Linked DNA regions of Kluyveromyces lactis. The protein of the gene in region 4 interacts with the protein of the main gene of each other region in a pairwise test. Links are inferred from orthologs where the notes say so. Each region holds a gene or a part of one and is shown on either strand. Other genes may lie near its edges.

The links.
Region 1: the proteins of KLLA0_A03905g (region 4) and SHE4 interact in binary tests that used the Saccharomyces cerevisiae proteins (3 or more experiments, as listed by UniProt). The link is inferred for Kluyveromyces lactis from reciprocal best matches to the Saccharomyces cerevisiae genes MYO2 and SHE4.
Region 2: the proteins of KLLA0_A03905g (region 4) and YPT11 interact in a two-hybrid assay, tested with the Saccharomyces cerevisiae proteins (6 studies listed by BioGRID, with this or other methods). The link is inferred for Kluyveromyces lactis from reciprocal best matches to the Saccharomyces cerevisiae genes MYO2 and YPT11.
Region 3: the proteins of KLLA0_A03905g (region 4) and KAR9 interact in a two-hybrid assay, tested with the Saccharomyces cerevisiae proteins (4 studies listed by BioGRID, with this or other methods). The link is inferred for Kluyveromyces lactis from reciprocal best matches to the Saccharomyces cerevisiae genes MYO2 and KAR9.

What each region holds. Positions count from the first base shown.
Region 1 is NC_006041.1:1,480,171-1,485,447, forward strand, and holds SHE4 (She4p), read left to right. Parts: upstream 1-2,334; coding exon 2,335-4,320; downstream 4,321-5,277. Other genes in the region: E3 ubiquitin-protein ligase HEL2, read left to right, coding at 1-1,122; PEX10 (ubiquitin-protein ligase peroxin 10), read right to left, coding at 1,202-2,119; KLLA0_E16721g (uncharacterized protein), read left to right, coding at 4,582-5,277. UniProt on the Saccharomyces cerevisiae protein: Required for mother cell-specific ho expression. Might be required for the transport of factors (such as ASH1) that promote HO repression from the mother cell into its bud.
Region 2 is NC_006039.1:1,088,750-1,092,973, forward strand, and holds YPT11 (Rab family GTPase YPT11), read left to right. Parts: upstream 1-2,145; coding exon 2,146-3,267; downstream 3,268-4,224. Other genes in the region: KLLA0_C12859g (putative methyltransferase), read right to left, coding at 1-1,141; TRM11 (tRNA (guanine-N2-)-methyltransferase), read right to left, coding at 3,502-4,224.
Region 3 is NC_006040.1:66,787-71,808, reverse strand, and holds KAR9 (Kar9p), read left to right. Parts: upstream 1-2,358; coding exon 2,359-4,065; downstream 4,066-5,022. Other genes in the region: ATP-binding cassette permease MDL2, read left to right, coding at 1-1,970; KLLA0_D00704g (uncharacterized protein), read right to left, coding at 4,255-4,968. UniProt on the Saccharomyces cerevisiae protein: Involved in karyogamy. Component of a cortical adaptor complex that orients cytoplasmic microtubules. It may be involved in anchoring cytoplasmic microtubules to the cell cortex.
Region 4 is NC_006037.1:347,045-352,658, reverse strand, and holds the start of KLLA0_A03905g (myosin family protein), read left to right. Parts: upstream 1-2,188; coding exon 2,189-5,614. Other genes in the region: FRT2 (Frt2p), read right to left, coding at 157-1,419. UniProt on the Saccharomyces cerevisiae protein: Myosin heavy chain that is required for the cell cycle-regulated transport of various organelles and proteins for their segregation.

The sequences.
Region 1 (5,277 bases), on a different chromosome or scaffold from region 4:
CCATCACAACCGCAATATTTCAAAAACTATGAGGACTTATTCGAACATTTCAAATCAGCCCATTACGTATGCACGGTACCGTCCTGCCTCGATGCCAAATTTGTCGTCTTCAGTGATGAGTTGGACTTAAGAGCACATATCATCAAAGAACATCCTCATCTTGCAGGTGATAGCAGAAGAGCTATGACGTTGATAGATAATACCTCAAAGAAGTTCAGATCACAAATTACTACGTTCTCCAATCCAACAAGAATTATAGATGCACAGAATGAGGAATCAAATTCTGCAAACTCAAGAGATGTCAAAAGGAGGAGAATGGAACAAAGAGCAAGACATTACCTTGGGAACTCTGAACCAGACTTCCAGTCCTTCTTAATCATCAATGACCTATTTAACAAAAACGAAATTTCTGCTCAAGAGCTTCAATCCAAATATGAAGACTTGTTTAAGCAACACGCGGATGATATACAATTACTAATTTACGATTTATCGGAGTTATATCATTCAACTTCGGATAAACACAAAAGATTGCGTGCTATATACGAAGGCATTATGAAGAAGAAAGAGAATGCAGGGAAATTCAAACCTCTCGTCGCCGATTCATCATCTTCGGTTAACGTAGTTTATGGTAAATGGGGTAAAAAGAGTTCTTCTGGTGTTGGCGGGTCGAACGTGAAGTTCACGTCTCTACCAGCTGTATCCGAACCTATATTCTCCTCCAAAGCCTCGTATACTAATTTGCGGAAAAATGGCTCTTCTTCACCGTCCTCTCCAGTTATTAGGAGCGGTTTGACTTCCAATTCATCGTCATCAACTTCTTTAAACTATGCGAAGAAGAATCAATCACCGCCAGGTTCTTCAACCGTTGTAGTGAATTCACAACCGAATGTGACAGCTATCAAATCACCTAATCCAACCAGCTTCCCCAAGTTACAAGCTACTAAGAAAAAATTTGTTGCACCTCCAGTGAAACAGACTACCATACCAAACCCATCCACTTGGGGTAAGCCTCAAAACGACAACGATTCTATCAACTTGGATTCGTTAGACAATGCATTACCAGCTAGTGGTAGTAAGAAAAAGAGCAAACAAAAACAACTACTGTTCCATATTGGCATATAGATTTAACCCCGTTATATACAGCAGATTGTTTTAATAATACAAGAAAGCTCGCTGAAACATTTAGATATTCTTCTAAGCTTTATCTAACAGGTATCGTCAGCTGTCTCGGACACCTTTGCCTGCATAATGGACACTCCTGTCTTTCTAACGTCCATTCCATGATACAATCCCAGCAGAAAAGGTGACCACACGGAGTCGCGCTGGGATCCAGCATATAGTTAAGACATAAAACACACTTACGTGAATCCTCTTTGATGAAAGGTAGGACTTCTAGATCGCTAAGATCTTTTGAGGTGTGTTTTTTAGCTAATGCACTTAAACTCTTGTGGCTCTTCCCATCATCTGTTCCAATTCTGTCAGCGATGTATTCTGCAATCTGCGGTAAAAGCTTAGAAGCTAATTGCATACCAAGTATAAAACCAAGAATCTTGTAGTTTTGCGATGACTTCTTCTTGAATTCTACCTCATTCTTGTTCATTTCATGGCCAACCACATATCTCATTCCAAATATTCTCTTTGAGATATCATAATACTGTCCGCTCAAGTAGAATATAATTAAGTGCAAATTCAAAGTGGAATCCAAGATGTCCCTGAAACTCTTGCCATTGAATACTTTCAAGAAACCAGATCCCCTCTCATTGAGCTTATACTTGTAGAATACTTTCGATAATATCCACGGTACCCCACAATAACTGATAGCGAAACCAATCCTTCGCAGGAGTCTCGCAACACCTTTTCCTCGCCTATCAACATACGCCAAATCAACGTACTCTTCTCCAAGCGTTCTCCTATACCTTAGTGTTGTAATTGACAAGTATATCAACTTGCTGAGGATCATTATCTCACTAACATACCTGTTAGTGAACTGTTGTCCCTTAACTTTCCGTAGTACATCCTGGATCTTTTGTAACAGCAAGTTTTCCACAGTATCATCCTTTTGATGCGCCTGAACTATACTAGGTGCATCAGCAAATGGGAACTTCATGTCTGGTGCCATTGCTTGTCTCTCGTCAGTTTGTGTTCTTATTCGTTTTTGAAGATGTTAGATGGTTGAAATTGATCAATTGGAGAAATGAAGTTTTATTTGATTAATCATAGGGTTCGAAACCAGAGATAACTAAACCCGATCTAACATACAGTTGTTTGGGCTGGTACCGATAGTTCAATTCTGTGAATTTATTCTTTTTGTAATTCAATAAAGATATCAACGCTATGAATAAAGTTTGGGATAGAATTGTTGGCAGTGATAGTGCCGATGCTCAAAGTGTATTGAAAGAAAGATGTTCATCTCCGAAGGACGTGACGGATTTGTTGCACGTTATTCAAAACTGGACCTCAGAGATACATAACAATGGCGAGGAAACACGATGCTGGAAGTGTGTGCCGATGCTTGCCGGTTATGTGAAGGATTGGGGTCAATTGGAGTTTCTTTGCAGAAGAATACTTTTAAGAAGTAGCATACAAGAGATACGGCCATTACTTCTTGTAACGATGAAATCGTTGATGTCCAACCATTCAGATAATACGGAGCAGAAGTGTGGGAATATACTACAACAATTGTTAATTGAAGCCGAGGAAGATTCTGGCAATGTTTCTTTACGTTTGCTTGTAGATGCTATGTCTTTGGTGTTCCCTATCTGCCTTGGCGTTTGTAGAGACATGTTTCTTTCGACAGATTTCCAGGACATATTGACTAGGAATTTGAATTCTTCAGCGGATGATGAACATCTTGTAAACGGGGCTCTTCGTCTCTTGGCTGTTTCCTGTATTGACGAAGCAGTCAGAAGATTCATTGCAGAGCATTACCTTAAGACGTTACAACAATCATTTAAGGTCGAGAAGTATAAAGTACTGACTGCGTTGGTTTTGATCAAGATCTGGTCATTCACTAAGATAGAAAAGGAAACTCTTAACTCTTGCATCAACCTTTTCATCGACTCGCTTTCGAATGGCGAAAATATCGAGATTAATACTGAAGCTTTAGCTTACTTGACATTGAAGCCCTCTGTCAGAGTCTTGCTACGAGGTAACGGTGATGTATGTTTGAAAATAATCGAGCTGATCAAGTCACAGGACACTACACCGACTGATCTATACGGACTCTTGATTATATTAGCAAACGTAAGTGAGCACCCGTCACAGAATGAGGATACAGTCGATAAATTAAAAGCTTCATTGAAAACCAACCAAGAAAAGAATGACGAGCCGACATTGGAAAATGTTAAGGACATAGAAGAGTTTAACCGTGATTATATTATCGATTTAGACTTGATCGGTTCTTTAAAATCGATAAAACTATCCACCTCATCTTACAATCAAGCCATAAGAATCATATATAATGTGACAAGAGATAAAACACAGATATCAGAATGTGTGAAACAGGGTGCTGGATTGATGCTCTTGGTATTTTTAGCACAAAAAAGGAACCTTTCTAAAGATGAATGGTATCTTCTATCGATAAGAGCACTATCGAAAACACTCATCTATGTGAATCCAGAGACTGCGTTCAGCAAATATTCACCGTTGAGCGCAGCACCGTTCTTATTTGAAAATTTACCTTTACCAAATGACAACGCTTTATCGGAACTTCAATTCACACAATTAGATACTTACGAAGCATTATTAGCGTTGACAAATTTGGCTACTATAAACCAGGGAGTAGATCTCGGCAAAATCATCTTGAGTAATGCTCAGTATTGGGATAGTATAGAGAATCTCTTATTGGATTCATCGGTCAGAATTCAAAGATCGACATTAGAACTTATTTCCAATTTAATGTCCAATCCAATGGCTATCTCTGCAAAGTTCTTCTGCTTTGAAAACCCTAAGAGTGCACAGAATTTCGAAATACTGGTCAAGCTTCTCGAACTTCACGATATACAATCTCAGAGAGCCGTTGCTGCCATATTTGCCAATATTGCAAGCACCGTTCCGTTCATTTGCAAAGAACTATCTGAGAAGCGAAACCTTATCGAAACAGCAATAAGAGTCTTTAAAACACAAAACACGGATACAGACCTCAGGATAAGATTACTCGTACTCTTGTCATCTATCTTCAACGCCAATGCGCATGCTGTCGCATGTGTCAAGAATGATGAAGAATTTGTAAAAGAATTGCAAAAATATCGTAATACTCCATCTCAAAAAGATCCATTAACACCAGAATTATCGAAAGAAATACTTTCTCTAATCAATTGATATATAGAACAATCAACAAGGTATAGCAGTATGCGATTTGTACATCCTTTTATATCTCATCTCAGCCTATATTTGTCAACGGGAATGAGGCTGGATAGACTGCTCAAAATGTAAAAAAAGCCTATAGCCCGATTTAACCAAACACTTTTAAATACTTAAACCAACGATCAAAGAAAAAGCTACATAAAGGACCTGAGCTAACCATACTGTCTATAACCATCAACTTGCTTAAATACTAAACCGAAAGACAGCTTACATATTATGACAGCTGAAGAGGTCGATAAGGAATCAGATCCTGCAATAGAAGATGTTAAATCGGATTATGACGCAATTGAACTTGGGAATGAGAATGAGAATGAGAATGAGGTTGTATCATTGGATTCAATGAAGGCAGTTATATCCAGGGCTTCTAGCGAGCTTAAGCACGAAAATGATCAAGGTGAGGAGCGTGATTTGGGTAGTGTTGAGAAAGATCCGATTCTTGAGAGGTATCATGCAGCGTGCAAACAAGGTGATATGAAAACTCTACGCGAAATGGTGGAATCGAAAGTGATTGATTTATCGAATGATTATGACCCCAAGGAACGTGTATCTGGACTACATTGGGCATGTATTAACAACAGATTGTCTGCAGTTAAGTATCTAGCTGGTGCAGGTGCAGAAGTAAATTTTAAAGGCGGCGAACTTGACGCGACGCCTCTACATTGGGCATCCAAGTCCGGTTTAGTGTACATTGTGGATGAGCTCTTGAAAGCCGGTGCAGATCCTAATATTACCGATAGCCAGGGCTACAATTTACTTCATACAAGCGTTTTCTCATCCAATATCATGTTAGTGATATATGTCCTTTTTTTCGTCGTTGATGGGAAAGAGGATGTGGATCAACCAGATCCGCACCAAAGAACTGCATTGCAGTGGGCCACTTACCAGGCAGATGCGTTGACTGTGGAAAATCTA
Region 2 (4,224 bases), on a different chromosome or scaffold from region 4:
TAGTTTTCCATGGGGTAGTTCTTGGCCAAACACGGTCACCAGTTAGCTTTCTGTAGTTCAAATCACCTTTAAAGATGCACAAATTAGCAGTAGACAATTCTTTGTGACATTCTGCACCACCGTACTTGGTTTCAGAAGGATCGATGTTCCAGTAATCCAATGGACCTGTCCAGAATGGATGTGCTTTTATAGAGATCTTATCCTGTTCAACGTACTCTTTGATTCTCTTAGTGATAAAATCCAAATGAGTTCTGTCCTCCACTGGGAAAAACTTTGGATCCTCAAGCTGAGCAATGATGTCATTGAAATCTTTTATCATAACATCGCTGACCATGTATGGAATATCTTTACCATGCATTACAACAGACGATGCCAAATCAAAATCTAGCATGAAGACGGCAAACAACAGATCAGTGTACAACTCGAAACCGGAGTTATCCAAAACGAAATCGACACGACCGGTACCTTTTTGTGACTTCAAATATTGGAAGGCTTTCTCAGAGTCATCAATCAGAATATTCGATTTTTGTTTCAATCTGTTAGCAGAGTTTTGAATGGCATTGATGTCGTCCAATGTGGCAGTAGCCAACAAGGACAAATCGGTCGCATTACCCCACAAAGAGATTTCAATAAATTCTTGGAATAAAGGTGGGATAGCATCTTCATTGCCGTTAAATTTTTCTATCACACCATGGTAGTAAGTTGCTAGATCAAGAACACCATTTTTCGAAGATTCAAACGTGGATGTCTTCAAACGTTGAAAGATGTCAAAGTCATCCCATTCAGATTGTTCCCTGAAAAAAATATTAACCTTTCTGTACAATAAAATCTCTAAGAACAACCAATCGCCGTTCAACCATGTCTGACCGTCATTTTCTTTCAAAATTTCGTTAAAGTCCTTGTATTGTTCAGGTAAAAGAGTAGGTTTAGCATCATTTTCAACATCTTGTTTCAATCCAGCAATCTGTTTCTTGATAATTTCACCTTGTTCTTTAGCTAATTGACTATTCGTTTCATTTATTGCCAGTTGTAAGTCATCATAAGCGTTCTGCAAGATGGTTGGCCAACGTACTTCAGCGGTGAATTGACCAAAGGTACCTTTGTCACCGGTGGAAAAGACTCTTGGAATGTCGGTGCTCATAATATATATTTCAATTTGACTTGTGGATGGGGTTCGAAGGATTTTGAATTGCAAAGCTTTTCGAAAGATACAAATTGAAAACGATCTACCTTCTCTAATTCAAGATGAACTTGATTCGTGTCCTATTTGGCAATGGACAATTGGTTCCTCTTCTTATATACACTTTCAAGAAAAACTAGTTGCTCTTTCGGTAATCCGGAAAAACGTCGTGTCACCTGTCTAGAGGGCCAAAAAAACAATGCTCGAACCAACCCGCACAGTCAAAAGGAGCAACGTTTTCCGGTAAGGTTTCTGATGTCAGTTTAAAGTCGGGTCAAATCAGTGAACAAGCCAACTCAACTACTTTTAACCCGCCTTGTCGAATGAACTCATATGCTCAGGTTTATTCAATCCTTTATTTCGTTGACCTGTCATAAACCGTACTATAAAAATACATATTACTTCTCCTGCAGTAACCCGAAGATTTAATATCCGGTATTATGTGGTTCCAATTTACAAACGATAGTGGCAGTAACAGGAATAACCGCAAATGCTATATATAAGAAGTCAAGCTCAGTTCATTGACTTCACGCATTTTCTTCGAATCAAAGGTTAAACTTTTGTCTGTGCAGTTTCTCTGGTGATTTTCGAAAAAATAAATATCCAATCGAAAGGCCGTTAGCTAACATACAAAGAACCAGGATTGGGAACGAATCTCCTTTCTTATCGGTAAACTCATGGTTCACCAAGGGTTTGAAGGGTATTGTTCGTTGGTGTATGGAACTGAGTTAATAATTGAACGAAGGCTTATATCGATTGTCCATCCAATCCTCTCTTCCTATCTTATTTGATTAATAGTGTTGGTGTTTAGGGTCCTGTGTGTTTCAAATTCGAAGTAAATTACGACACCTGGAGTTAGTTACCAGGAATACGTTGCATAAGAAGAGTCTAATATTCACTCAGTAGAAGTTGGCGTGTGTTTGTGTTTTGTGTTTTTTTTTTTTGCATTTATGAGTGTATAAGTAATGACTTCTCGTAAACGTCGCTCTCTAATAATCAGTGCGCCTTCATCACCGACAATTCCCGAAGAACCAAGGTTTTTCTCTTCAGCACCACCAACGGCTTCTGTGGGACTGGGGTTGAGCAATGGAAATCCTACCGGACAGCAATCTAGACATTCCTTTCTAAGGATCAATCCCAATGATGCTAGAAATATTTCCTTCGATTCTTTGACAGATTCATCTAATATCAAGCTATTACTTATAGGTGACGCCGGAGTGGGAAAAACGGCAATGATATTATCATATTGCAATGAACTACCTAGGATAAGTACAAAAGCTTTCAAAAAAAATATCGACAACTCTCCTGCAGGAAGTAATGGCTTCTCGAAATCTGAACTAAATAGGGTTAAGAGTATTGCCAAACGGAAGAGGTACTCTTTGAATGATTTCGAAAATTCCCCGATGGCTGATGATTCTGATTTTGAGATTAATACTACTTCGACCATTGGGATAGATATAAAGACAAATTTGGTGAATATAGACAATAGATTTTTCAGAGTTATTATGTGGGACACTGCTGGACAAGAGAGATATAGGAATGCTATGATTTCTTCATTATATAAAGGATCTAATGGAGTGATTTTAAGTTATGATATATGTGACTTCAATAGTTTCCTGAATTGCTTGAACTTCTGGTTGGTTGAATCCATTGAGAATATTCCTAATTTGAGCATGACACGGTTTTATCTAGTGGGGAACAAACTCGATTTATATAAGGAAAGGAAAGTTACGCATGAAGACGTACTTCAGTTCATTTCCAGGATTGAGAAAGATTATAATATAAAAATATCAGGTAACTTTGAAGTTAGTTGTAAATGGGAGAATGTGGTAGAAAGGACATTCAATATTATTATTAAAGATTTGGTAGAAAGCGGGTGTTATGAGGATGACAGAGAGCTTAGAGTAATTTCATCAGACCAATCAGAAGATAGTGAAAGTAGTTTGGAGGATATTCCAGGCACTCCCCGTGGCGTGCGACAGAGATTAATGAAGAATAAATCCAAAACTGTGGATTTGAATAAACCATTGAATAACCAAAACGACGATGGTTCAAACCCAGGCTCCACGAGTTCCTGCTGCACTTAGTAATGAATTTCAAGTTATAGCGTCATGATACCAAGTATTGGCAGTGGAAGATGATATGCAAGGAATATGTATAATATTGTATAATATTGTCAGTCATTGTAACTTTGTGTATAATAAATGTAATAATATCGATTTTATAAATATTAATTTGTATTTTAACTAATGATACATATTATAGTGTAATGCTAGAGTGAGCAGATGTCTATTATTAGCCTTATATCAGGTCCAATAATATCAATTGAACCCGCTGAAGTATCTATCTCTGAAATTACCAGTTCTACTCAAACCAGAATTGTTGGGTCCATTAAATTCGTGTCCTCTATTGATATACACCAATAATCTTCTAGACCATTTATTGAAATCTTGAACACAGTTATACTTCAGTTCCAAATTCGAATGAAGAGGAATTATAGTTGCAACATTCTCGTCATTGGCAGTGGGCATCCAGAAAGCCAATCTACCATTAATGGGGAGTCTTTGACTTGCGTAATCCAACAAATCGTCTAATAGGGAATCTAAAGAGTACGGTTTTTTAGTTGGAATATAGTCTCTAAGTAGATAAGCTTTTTGACCGTTAATTTCCACATCCTCTTTCCCAGCAAATCTCTCCGGATCCTTTGCTCCAAGAACTTTAATCGATTCTCTAATACCGTATGGAGGATCACAAAGGATCGTATCAATGACAAAGTCCTTTCTCAATGCATTATGCGTAAAATCCATTGTCATGACGTCCAGGAATTGGATAGACTCTTTATAATACTTGAAATTTGCCTTGATAGTTTGTTGTCCCTTCCCTCTGATCATCCTACCATCAATATCAGACCCTAAGACAAGAGCACCATAATGGCCACCAGCCACCAGGAATGAACCAGTACCAACGAATGGATCATACATTATATGTGCTGGTTTTACCTGTGCAATATTTGCACTTACCAGTGATAATTCAGCTTCAAATGA
Region 3 (5,022 bases), on a different chromosome or scaffold from region 4:
CATTATTGACCGTCTCCTGTACCATTGGTATGGCAGTACCGAAGGTGATCGGGTTAGTATTAGATGCTACCAAGAATGCACTAAGCGGCAGTAATACCAATAACGGCAATGGAGGGTTGGAAGATTCGAAAAGTCTTACTTTGGATGATCTTCCCCCAATTGTGGGAGACATACAGCTATATGACTTTTTCCTTTTATTCGGTGGGGCCTTGTTGATAGGAACCATGGCTAATTTTGGAAGAGTAGTACTCCTTAAGATATTAGGGGAAAGACTTGTGGCCAGATTAAGATCAAACGTTATCAAGAAGACTATGCATCATGATATGGAATTTTATGACAGAAACAAGGTTGGTGACTTGTTATCCAGATTAGGTGCAGATGCGTACATAGTGTCTAGATCTATGACTCAAAATATTTCAGATGGTTTCAAAGCTTTGATTTGCGGTGGTGTTGGTATTGGCATGATGTTCCATATATCGAGTACATTAGCTAGTGTACTCTTCCTATTTGCTCCACCGCTACTTGTTGGCGCAACCATTTACGGTAACAAGATTAGAGCAATCTCTAGAGAATTACAACAGGCCTCTGGTAATCTTACCAAAGTCGCAGAGGAACAACTAAGCGGGATTAAAACTGTCCAATCCTTTGTTGCAGAAGGGAAAGAAGTGCATCGCTATAACAACGCTGTAAGACAGGTATTTAATGTTGGAAAGAAGGAAGCTTTCACAAATGCGACTTTTTTCAGTAGTACAAATGTGTTGGGTGATTTCTCATTTTTGCTGGTATTGGCCTATGGATCGCATCTTGTTTTACAAGGAAACCTTACAATCGGTGATTTAACTGCGTTCATGCTCTATACTGAATACACTGGAAGTGCAGTATTTGGTCTTTCCACCTTTTACTCGGAATTGATGAAGGGTGCTGGTGCAGCTACGAGATTGTTTGAATTGCTTGATTACAAACCTACTATTAAATCAACTACCGGGAAGGCGTTTAAACCGTTAAATGGTAAAGTTGAGTTTCAGCATGTTTCTTTCAGTTACCCAACAAGAAAAACAAATCAAATCTTTAAGGATCTCAACTTTACAATAGAGCCAGGTTCTAATGTATGTATTGTAGGTCCATCAGGAAGAGGGAAATCTACAATTGCCTCGTTATTGTTGAGGTACTACAATCCAACATCCGGTAAAATCTTGGTTGATGGCCAAGATATTACAAAATTAAGTTCGAAATCCCTTAGAAGACAACTTGGTGTGGTACAACAAGAGCCAATATTAATGTCTGGTACTATAAGAGAGAATATTACATATGGTGTCTCTAGGCAACCTTCAATGGAAGAAATCAGATCTGTAGCAAAAAAGTGCTTCTGTCATGCTTTCATATCTAAATTCCCTAATGGTTACGAAACTATCATTGGGCCTCGTGGTGCTTTGCTCAGTGGAGGACAGAAACAACGTATTGCTATCGCTAGAGCGTTATTAAATAAACCTAAAATTTTGATTCTCGACGAAGCTACATCTGCCCTAGACGTTGAAAGTGAGGGCGCTATCAACTACACTTTGGGGAGGTTAATGAAGAGCAAAGAATTAACTATTATCAGCATTGCTCATAGATTGAGCACAATCAGAAGATCCGAGAATGTTATTGTACTTGGCATCGATGGTTCAGTTGTGGAAATGGGTAAGTTCAAAGATCTTTACGCCAACCATGATAGTGCTTTACACAAATTATTGACAGAACCTTCAGAACAGCAGCATTCCCAGCACCAACAATACGCTCCACCTGCCATAACTCAAGAATCTGAGCCACAAACAGAAGAAAATGGCAAAGATGATTCTGGTGAAGATCAAAATTCTGACCACGAAGAAAACTCACAAGATCAGAACGAGAAGAGACTGCAAGAAGAAGTTATACATCAAGTTTTAGAAGATATCAGTCACGATCAAAAAACTTCAACGCTCAGGCCATGAGTAATTGAAGAAATTTCCCACCTTCCTTTCTTACACTGCATAGGTATCTTACAAGTGCACCAGAGTTGGTACTATGTATTATTAACATATAAATATACACATAAACAACATACAAGGTACCAATCAAACAAATATATTAATATTCATATAATTTCAGCTCTCCATGGAAGTCATCTAAGCATTAATCTTTTGATGTTGCAAGCTTCCTGACCTCTACGTGCCTTATCTACCAAGCAACTTTTCCCGTTACTTCAAATGAAATCATCAATAATTAAGATTAGTTAAAATGTAAACAAAGGCATGGGGTTACGAAACGGAAAAACAGTAGGCGATAGAGAAGCAGAGATCCATTGTCCACACTAGGTGTGCTTCAGCAAGCTTCTATACTATGGCAGAGGAGCTGAAAGGATTTCCTCATGAGAGACTATCTATCTCATTGAGGAGTAATTCACAGCAATATCAAGATATTCTTTTGTTTTTTGATGATTATCAGTTTGATTTGGATAGCACCAACCAGCACTTGTGTAGTCTGGCAGAATTACTGTTAAAGTCTCATACACTGTTGGCAGAGCTGTTTTCTGATGATGTGAGCGTTTCTCAACTCTTACCGTATTTTGATTGGATTCAAGAGGGAAGATCTGAATTTTATCAGCTCTTCAACGGGATAAAGACCATCGAAAAGGTGTTGCTGCATCTGATGGAAATCATCGAAGAGGAATTTGGGTGTAATGAAGATGAACTATTCCAGAAGGAGTTGACTGCACTTTTTGATTTATTAGAGGAGATATCAGATACATTAGTGTCCATAAAACCAATCATCTCATCATTAAAAAACCTGTTCGACACCGCCATAGAGTTCAACGAAATATTCAAAGATCATATGAACAGTCTAGATGAAGAGATAGAAAACAATTTGTCTAAATGCATTGAACTTCAAGAGCAAAACTTTGAATCTCCTGTAAGACATAATAAACCTACTTTCACTTTGGATCAATTGATTAAAACTTTGTCTTCAACAAATTCTCCTACCAAAGGACTTCAGATCCCTGCCTTTTCTCCTTCAGAGCAAAAGATTCATGAAAAGCTTACACAGTTGGAAGATTCTTCGGCACCTATAGATTTGTCACTAAAACATGTCCTTTCAGAAAGATTAGATAACTTCGAGACCCGTGATGTTGTCAATTTGGAATATCTCATGCGATTGCTGCGAAAGAAATACCAATATATATTGGATAAGTATGAACTACTACAAGTTGAACTCAGAGACCTAAAGCAAGCAATTGTTGATGAGAAATGGGTTCTCATATTTACAACTTTGAATGACGAGCTACGGATTATGCTGAAAGATGTGGAGAAACTGCTGCTGAAGGTAGGCAACCCTGATCTTTCGGAGCAGCTGAAAACAAAACTGCATGATCAATTGAGAAGCAAATCGTACACTATTGATAAGACCTTCGGTATAATATACAATGCTCTTGAAAGCTCGATATTGAATGAATCAATTGCAACCGTTACCAACGAACATGCGGAAAAGTGGCTACAATTAAATACAAAATTTGAACACTTACTGCCGGAACACCAAAATGAAAATGATCCAAATAAAACTATCACACAGCTTTCCAATGACATCTCCGAGCTTCGGCTCAACGATGCACCATCTGAGAAGCCAGGTTCAAACAGGTCTAGTATTGGGGCGATATTATTTAAGAAAATGAATATCAAACCTGTCTTGGTAAGAGAAGGAGATGAAAATGATTCAAACAGCGATAATGTGAAATGTGACCGCCACAGATATTCCAATCCATTTTTTGATCCTTGCCAAGCTACTAAATTAAGTCCAAAAAAGGTACTTAACTTTAACAAAGTACCTGCTCTTTCTTTTGAACAACAACTGTCCATTTTGGGAACACTTGAATCCCGAGCATATGATATTAACAGATTGAAACAGTACGGTAAACTCCCGACACGCATCCCCAGACTTCCTTTCCAGAGACAGAAAATCATTCCACATCGTACTATTTTATTCAATTTCGATGCCAACTGGGTAAAAAAGGATAATCACCAACTGAAATTTCCCGTATCCTATGTATCTTAGTGCCTTCCGGACTAGCTCCAGATAGTCCATTCCATTGTAACACTATAAATACAATAATCAGGATAAACTAACTTTGTTAATAGGTAATTATCTAGCTTACATAATAAACCATACAAAAGTAGCTACTGACAAAATGCCTGACGTAATTAACAGGAATTATTTCACTCCATTAAAAATACTAAAGGGAATTCAGTTAAGGCTATTCAATACTTGAACAGTTCTCTTTGCGGTTGAACTAGCCGATGCTGGATTGACACCCGTAACTAACCTACCATCAGCAATCGAAAAATCATCCCATGGACCAATTGGGGCCATGTACTTTGCATGATACTTCTTAGCGATATCTTCCACAGTATCTAACTTCTTTTGTTTTAGTATATCGGCAACACCTAGGATTTCTTCACCAATATCGGTAAAACCAGTAATAACTTTACCTTGAATCAACGGTTTACCAGTATCTTTATCAGTCAAACCATCAAAGATTGCCGGACCATGGCAAACAGCAGCCACAACACCATTATTAGCATATATATCAGAGGCTATTTTTTGTAAATTCTTGGCAGTTGGATAATCGAATAACGTACCGTGGCCGGCAGAGGCAAAGAAGATTTTATAGGTGGATGGGTTAACATCAGCAGCAACCTTTGTTTTGGCTAAAGCTTGGTTGAACGCAGAGTTCTTGTCTTCGAATTGCTCCTTGTCTTTGCCGCTTAAGAAGTCTGCTGACAAAGAGTGCTCATCGAAACCGTACTTACCAGTCTCTGAAACAAAGTCGACGTCATAACCTTGTTCCTTGTAATAATTGAAAGGGTGTAGCGCTTCCACAACAAAGACACCGGTCTTCGTACCATCAGCGTAAAACGTATCGTTGTAACATGTTAATGCAATTAGAACCTTGGTCATTTTCAGACAGAATTATTATATGAGTTAATGACTCTTGTCAACCTACGAAGCACA
Region 4 (5,614 bases):
TTCAAAGCATTGCTTCACCGTATATCCCATGCCCCAGAGAATTGAGAAAGGAAGACGAAACATAATTGGTTCCTATATAAATACATATTAATTACTTGTCTTCGACCTACTGTTGTGTGTGAATGCCAAACTTAAGACGGTTTCATCCACTTCGTCTTATTCTGAGGCGAACCAGCGCCTAAATAAATACATTATTAACGATATCGATAGGGCTAACACAGTCACATCACCAAATGTACCATAATATTCTTTCAACTTTTCAGATAATTTCATGTTCCTTTTGAAGTCGCCGATCATGTCATTTAACTTGATCAGATTCTCTAACTTACGAAGTTGCAGCTTTTTAGCTTCCAATTCGTTCTGGAAATCAACAGTTTTCCCTTCTAGTGCCTGTAATCGAGAAACATGCGAGTCCATTAGTGTGGTAAGTTTACTGACGAAAGATTCTGAATCAGACCCGTTGAACGCGGCTGCCAATTTTTCCAAATATATATCTTTGGTATCATGTTTAATTTTTTCAATGTCCATGTGGAGTTGTGTAACTGATTTAGAAAGGTTGGATACATGGTTGATGTTCTGAGTAAAATCCATCTCTTGCGGTAAGATAACTTTCATAAGGAAATGTTTTAGACGAAATTCCAATGCCGTCAAATCTCTGTGTATATGTTTGATGTAATCCATTGCAAAATACTCTGGTATATCTTTACAATCTACGTCTATCTTCATGTCCTTTGGATCAGTTTCCTTAGAGTTAAATATGGGGAAAAGTTTGTCAGTAAACCCTGATGACAAATAATCAAGCGCTCCAGAAGTATCACCGCAGCTGTTGGCAGATGGGGAATAAAATAAGGTCGGTATTATCTCTCTGTTGCATTTTGCCTTTGAAGCGGTCTCAAGAAACTGTCTTGCCAAAGAGTTGCCCTTAGAAGGTTGTGATTCAAAAGACGATGCTGTTGTGAGGTCGGGCTTCAACTGAGAGAAATTTAACAGTTTCGTGTGCGTTTTCTTAAATGATTGAGTGGAGGAAATTGATATGTTAGAGTATGATTGATTTTTTAGAAGACCCAGACTACTGTTACCGCTCCCCGGTTTACTACTAGCCATATGTCCAGATCTATTGCTAGAATGCTCATCCTGACATTTGAACGAGCCATCTAATAACGCATCACTAAACCTTAAAGAACCACACGTAATATCGTCATGGTAAATGTTTTTATTACTGGCATGATGAGACGGATTGAATTCGGTCAAATCCCCCATCTGAGTCTTAGAATTGATCGAAGCACCAGATTTACGACGTTTCCCATCCCAAGGGACTCGTAGATCTGCGGCATCATTCTTATGAAATACGGACCCGCGGAACAAAGGGTTAACCTGGGATCCAATATGGTTGGTATGTTCACGATGGCTAACCTCCATTAGACTTCGAATTTTTGAGTTTGAGTTTGAGTTTAAAGTTCCTATTCACAAAGTAATCTCCTCAGCAAAAATATTTCAACTCTAAAACCTCATTCCATGAAATATTTTCGTCTTTACTCGCCACGAAATGAAACCAGGCTGCTATCTAATTCTTATTTGATAGCTGCGCCTTATCTCCACCTACCGACTTCCTCTATTCATGTTGGAATAGAAATTGTCTGATGAAGAGACGAACCAGGAACGCTATTACCCGGATAGTGCATGTGATTTACACGTGACTAAAAATCACCCTTTTAAAAGGCTAATTTGAGGCCCCATAAGCAAATATTCGCCCCACCAAGGCGAAAATATCCCTACAAGTTTACCTCACTGCATGCTTATCCGTTGCTGGCGCGCTGACGCGAAAGGTTGAATCCCTGCTATTTGTTTAGTCCACTTAAAAAGCTCTTGGGACAACAGAAGGGAAAAAAAAAAAACAAAAAAAAAGTGGGATCTTTTGAACAACAAATATATATCTTATTTGATTTATATGTGTTTTATTTAGATTCACGAGTTTCAGGAGAAGAGTAGAGCGGAAAATACAGGGAGCGAGGCATCTGACACCGTGTATCCTTGTGACTAGCAGTACGAAGCAATAGGAGACTGTTTTGATTTTAATTGCCGTGTGTCATTGCAGATTCAATTGAGTGCTCGTTGGCTTTTTCTGATTCAATTATTGGTTATTTGATTTGATCTTAGATTTCAGGTTTTAAGCGTTAATCAGCATAGGATGCCGTACGAAGTCGGGACTCGCTGCTGGTATCCCAGCAAAGATCAAGGATGGATCGGTGCTGAAGTTACTAAACATACCTTGCAGGGAGATTCCTATAATTTGGAATTGACTTTGGAGGATGGACAGAAAGTAGAGCTTTTAGTGTCTTCTTTAGATGAAACCAAAGAGCCTAGTTTACCCCTACTTAGGAACCCTCCAATCCTTGAGACTACGGAGGATTTGACGTCATTGTCATATTTGAATGAACCGGCAGTTTTACATGCTATTAAGGCCAGATATGCCCAGTTGAATATCTATACTTATTCAGGGATCGTGCTCATTGCCACAAATCCCTTTGATCGTGTGGATCAACTATATTCTCAGGAGATGATCCAGGCATATGCAGGGAAACTTAGAGGTGAATTGGAACCACATCTTTTTGCTATCGCAGAGGAAGCGTATAGGTTGATGAAGACAACAGATCAGAACCAAACAATCATCGTTTCTGGTGAATCCGGTGCAGGTAAGACTGTTTCGGCTAAATATATTATGAGATATTTCGCTAGTGTGGAAGAAAATAATGAGGAAAACGCACATCATAATTTGGAAATGTCTGAAACTGAAAAGAAGATATTGGCCACTAATCCAATCATGGAAGCATTCGGTAATGCTAAGACTATTAGGAATGACAACTCTTCCAGATTCGGTAAATATTTGGAAATTCTCTTCGATGACGATACTTCAATCATTGGTGCCAGAGTGAGAACATATTTGTTGGAACGTTCTAGGTTGGTTTTCCAACCGAAAACTGAAAGGAATTACCACATTTTCTATCAAATATTATCAGGTTTATCCGACGATGAAAAATCTCAGTTGAAACTTACAGACATACAAGACTACCATTATATGAATCAGGGCGGTGACTCTCATATCGAAGGTGTCGATGACGCCTCTGAATACGGTGATACTGTGGAAGCATTGAGTTTGGTTGGTATCTCAAAGGATACTCAATTCCAGCTGTTTAAAATCTTGGCGGCCCTTCTTCATATTGGTAACATCGAAGTTAAAAAGGTCAGAAATGATGCTTCTTTGTCATCTGATGAACCAAACCTACAAATAGCGGCAGATTTGTTAGGTATAGACGCTTTTGATTTCGCTAAATGGGTAACGAAGAAACAGATCGTTACCAGGTCTGAAAAGATCGTCTCATCCCTACCTTACCACCAAGCCATAGTTTCTCGTGATTCTGTGGCGAAATTCATATATTCAGCATTATTCGATTGGTTAGTGGACAACATAAACACCGTGCTATGTAACCCTGAAGTGGTAAGCGAGATATATACTTTTATCGGTGTCTTGGATATCTATGGTTTTGAACATTTCCAAAAGAATTCTTTCGAACAGTTCTGTATCAATTACGCTAACGAAAAGTTGCAACAAGAGTTCAACCAACATGTTTTCAAACTAGAACAAGAGGAGTACGTAAAGGAACAGATTGAATGGTCGTTTATCGAGTTCAACGATAATCAACCGTGTATTGACTTAATTGAGAACAAAGTTGGTATTTTATCATTATTAGACGAAGAATCAAGATTACCTGCTGGTACGGATGAAGGATGGACGCATAAACTATATGAAACTTTGAATAAACCTCCAACTAATGAAGTATTCTCCAAACCAAGATTCGGCCAAACTCAATTTATTGTTAGCCATTATGCATTGGACGTCACTTATGATGTAGACGGATTTATCGAAAAGAATAGAGATACAGTTTCTGATGGACATCTTGAAGTGTTAAAGGCTTCTAACAACGAAACTTTACTATCTATTTTGGAAACTGTTGACAAAAATGCGGAAAAATTGGCAGAGAAACAAGCCCAAAAGCAAGAAAGTCAAAAGAAACCCGGTCCAGCCTCAAGAAAAATCGTAAGAAAACCAACTCTAGGATCTATGTTTAAACAATCGTTGATCGATCTTATGGAAACTATCAACTCCACTAACGTTCACTACATTCGTTGTATCAAACCTAACGAAGACAAAGAAGCATGGAAGTTTGACAATCTTATGGTTTTGTCACAGCTTAGAGCATGTGGTGTCTTGGAAACAATTAGAATTTCTTGTGCAGGGTTCCCATCGAGGTGGACATACACAGAGTTTGCCCTCAGATACCATATATTAGTACCATCAGAGCTTTGGTCAAATATTTTACTATCGGATCCATCTGAAGAAGATGTAAAGAACTTATGTAAGGAGATCCTGAAACGTACAATGGATGATACTGCAAAGTATCAGGCTGGTAATACAAAAATTTTCTTCAAAGCTGGTATGCTAGCACATTTGGAAAAGCTAAGAACCGATAAGTTATTCTCATCCTCTGTCATGATCCAGAAAAAAATTAAGGGTCTTCACTATCGTAAAACATATCTACGGACTGTCGATGCAATCAAAAGGCTACAGGCAAACGTTAGTGGTAAGATCATAAGATTAAGAACTGAGAACGAATTCAAGAATAATGCAGCTCTATTGATTCAAAGTGCCTATAGAGGTATTTCTGTGAGGGATAACGTTTCCAGTATAATCATCAGCATCATTAGAATTCAATCCATGGCTAGAAAGCAAATTACCTGTAAAGAGTTATTGGAAAGGCGCAGAGGCGATGCCGCTGTTACGATTCAAAAGAGCGTAAGATCTTTCCAACCAAGAAAAAGTTTCCTACATGAGAAGAAGGGCACCGTGGTCATCCAATCTTTCATTAGAAAGCACTATGCTCAAAGAAAGTTAAAACAACTAAAATCGGAAGCCAAATCCGTTAATCACCTACAGGAAGTCAGTTATAAACTTGAAAACAAGGTCATTGAATTGACGGAATCTCTTGCTTCTAAGGTAAAGGAAAATAAGGAACTTGTTTCACGTTTGGAAAACTTGCAAAAATCTCTAAACGAATCTGAAAACATTAAAAGCTCTTTGGAGGAAGAAAAGGAAGGTCATACCAAGGCATTGGCCGACCAAAAGAGTATACACGAAGAAGAATACGGAAAGGTTAACGACCAATTGATTGCTGCAAAAGAAGAAATCATCTCTGCAAAGGCAGAAGTTGACGAACTTCTCAACAAGCAGAAGAACTTGAAAGATGAAATTGCATCCACTTTGGAAGAATTAACATCCGCGAGAGATGAGCTTCTAACATCTCAATCAGAAAACGCCGATCTAAAAAAAGAAGTTTTTTCTTTAAAGGAGGAAGTTGCACGTTTACAGTCCTCTATGCGCTCTGGTGTATATGTAGGAGGAGGCATCAACGCTACTCCGGTAAAAAACAGGCGCTTCTCGGCAAATAGTACTTTGAATGATGGCTCTTCTCCAAAACAATTGAATGTTGTTTCCATAAACAATAACTTCAATACTGAAGATGTTTCAGCGTTAATGTCTCAAATTAATGATGAGCTA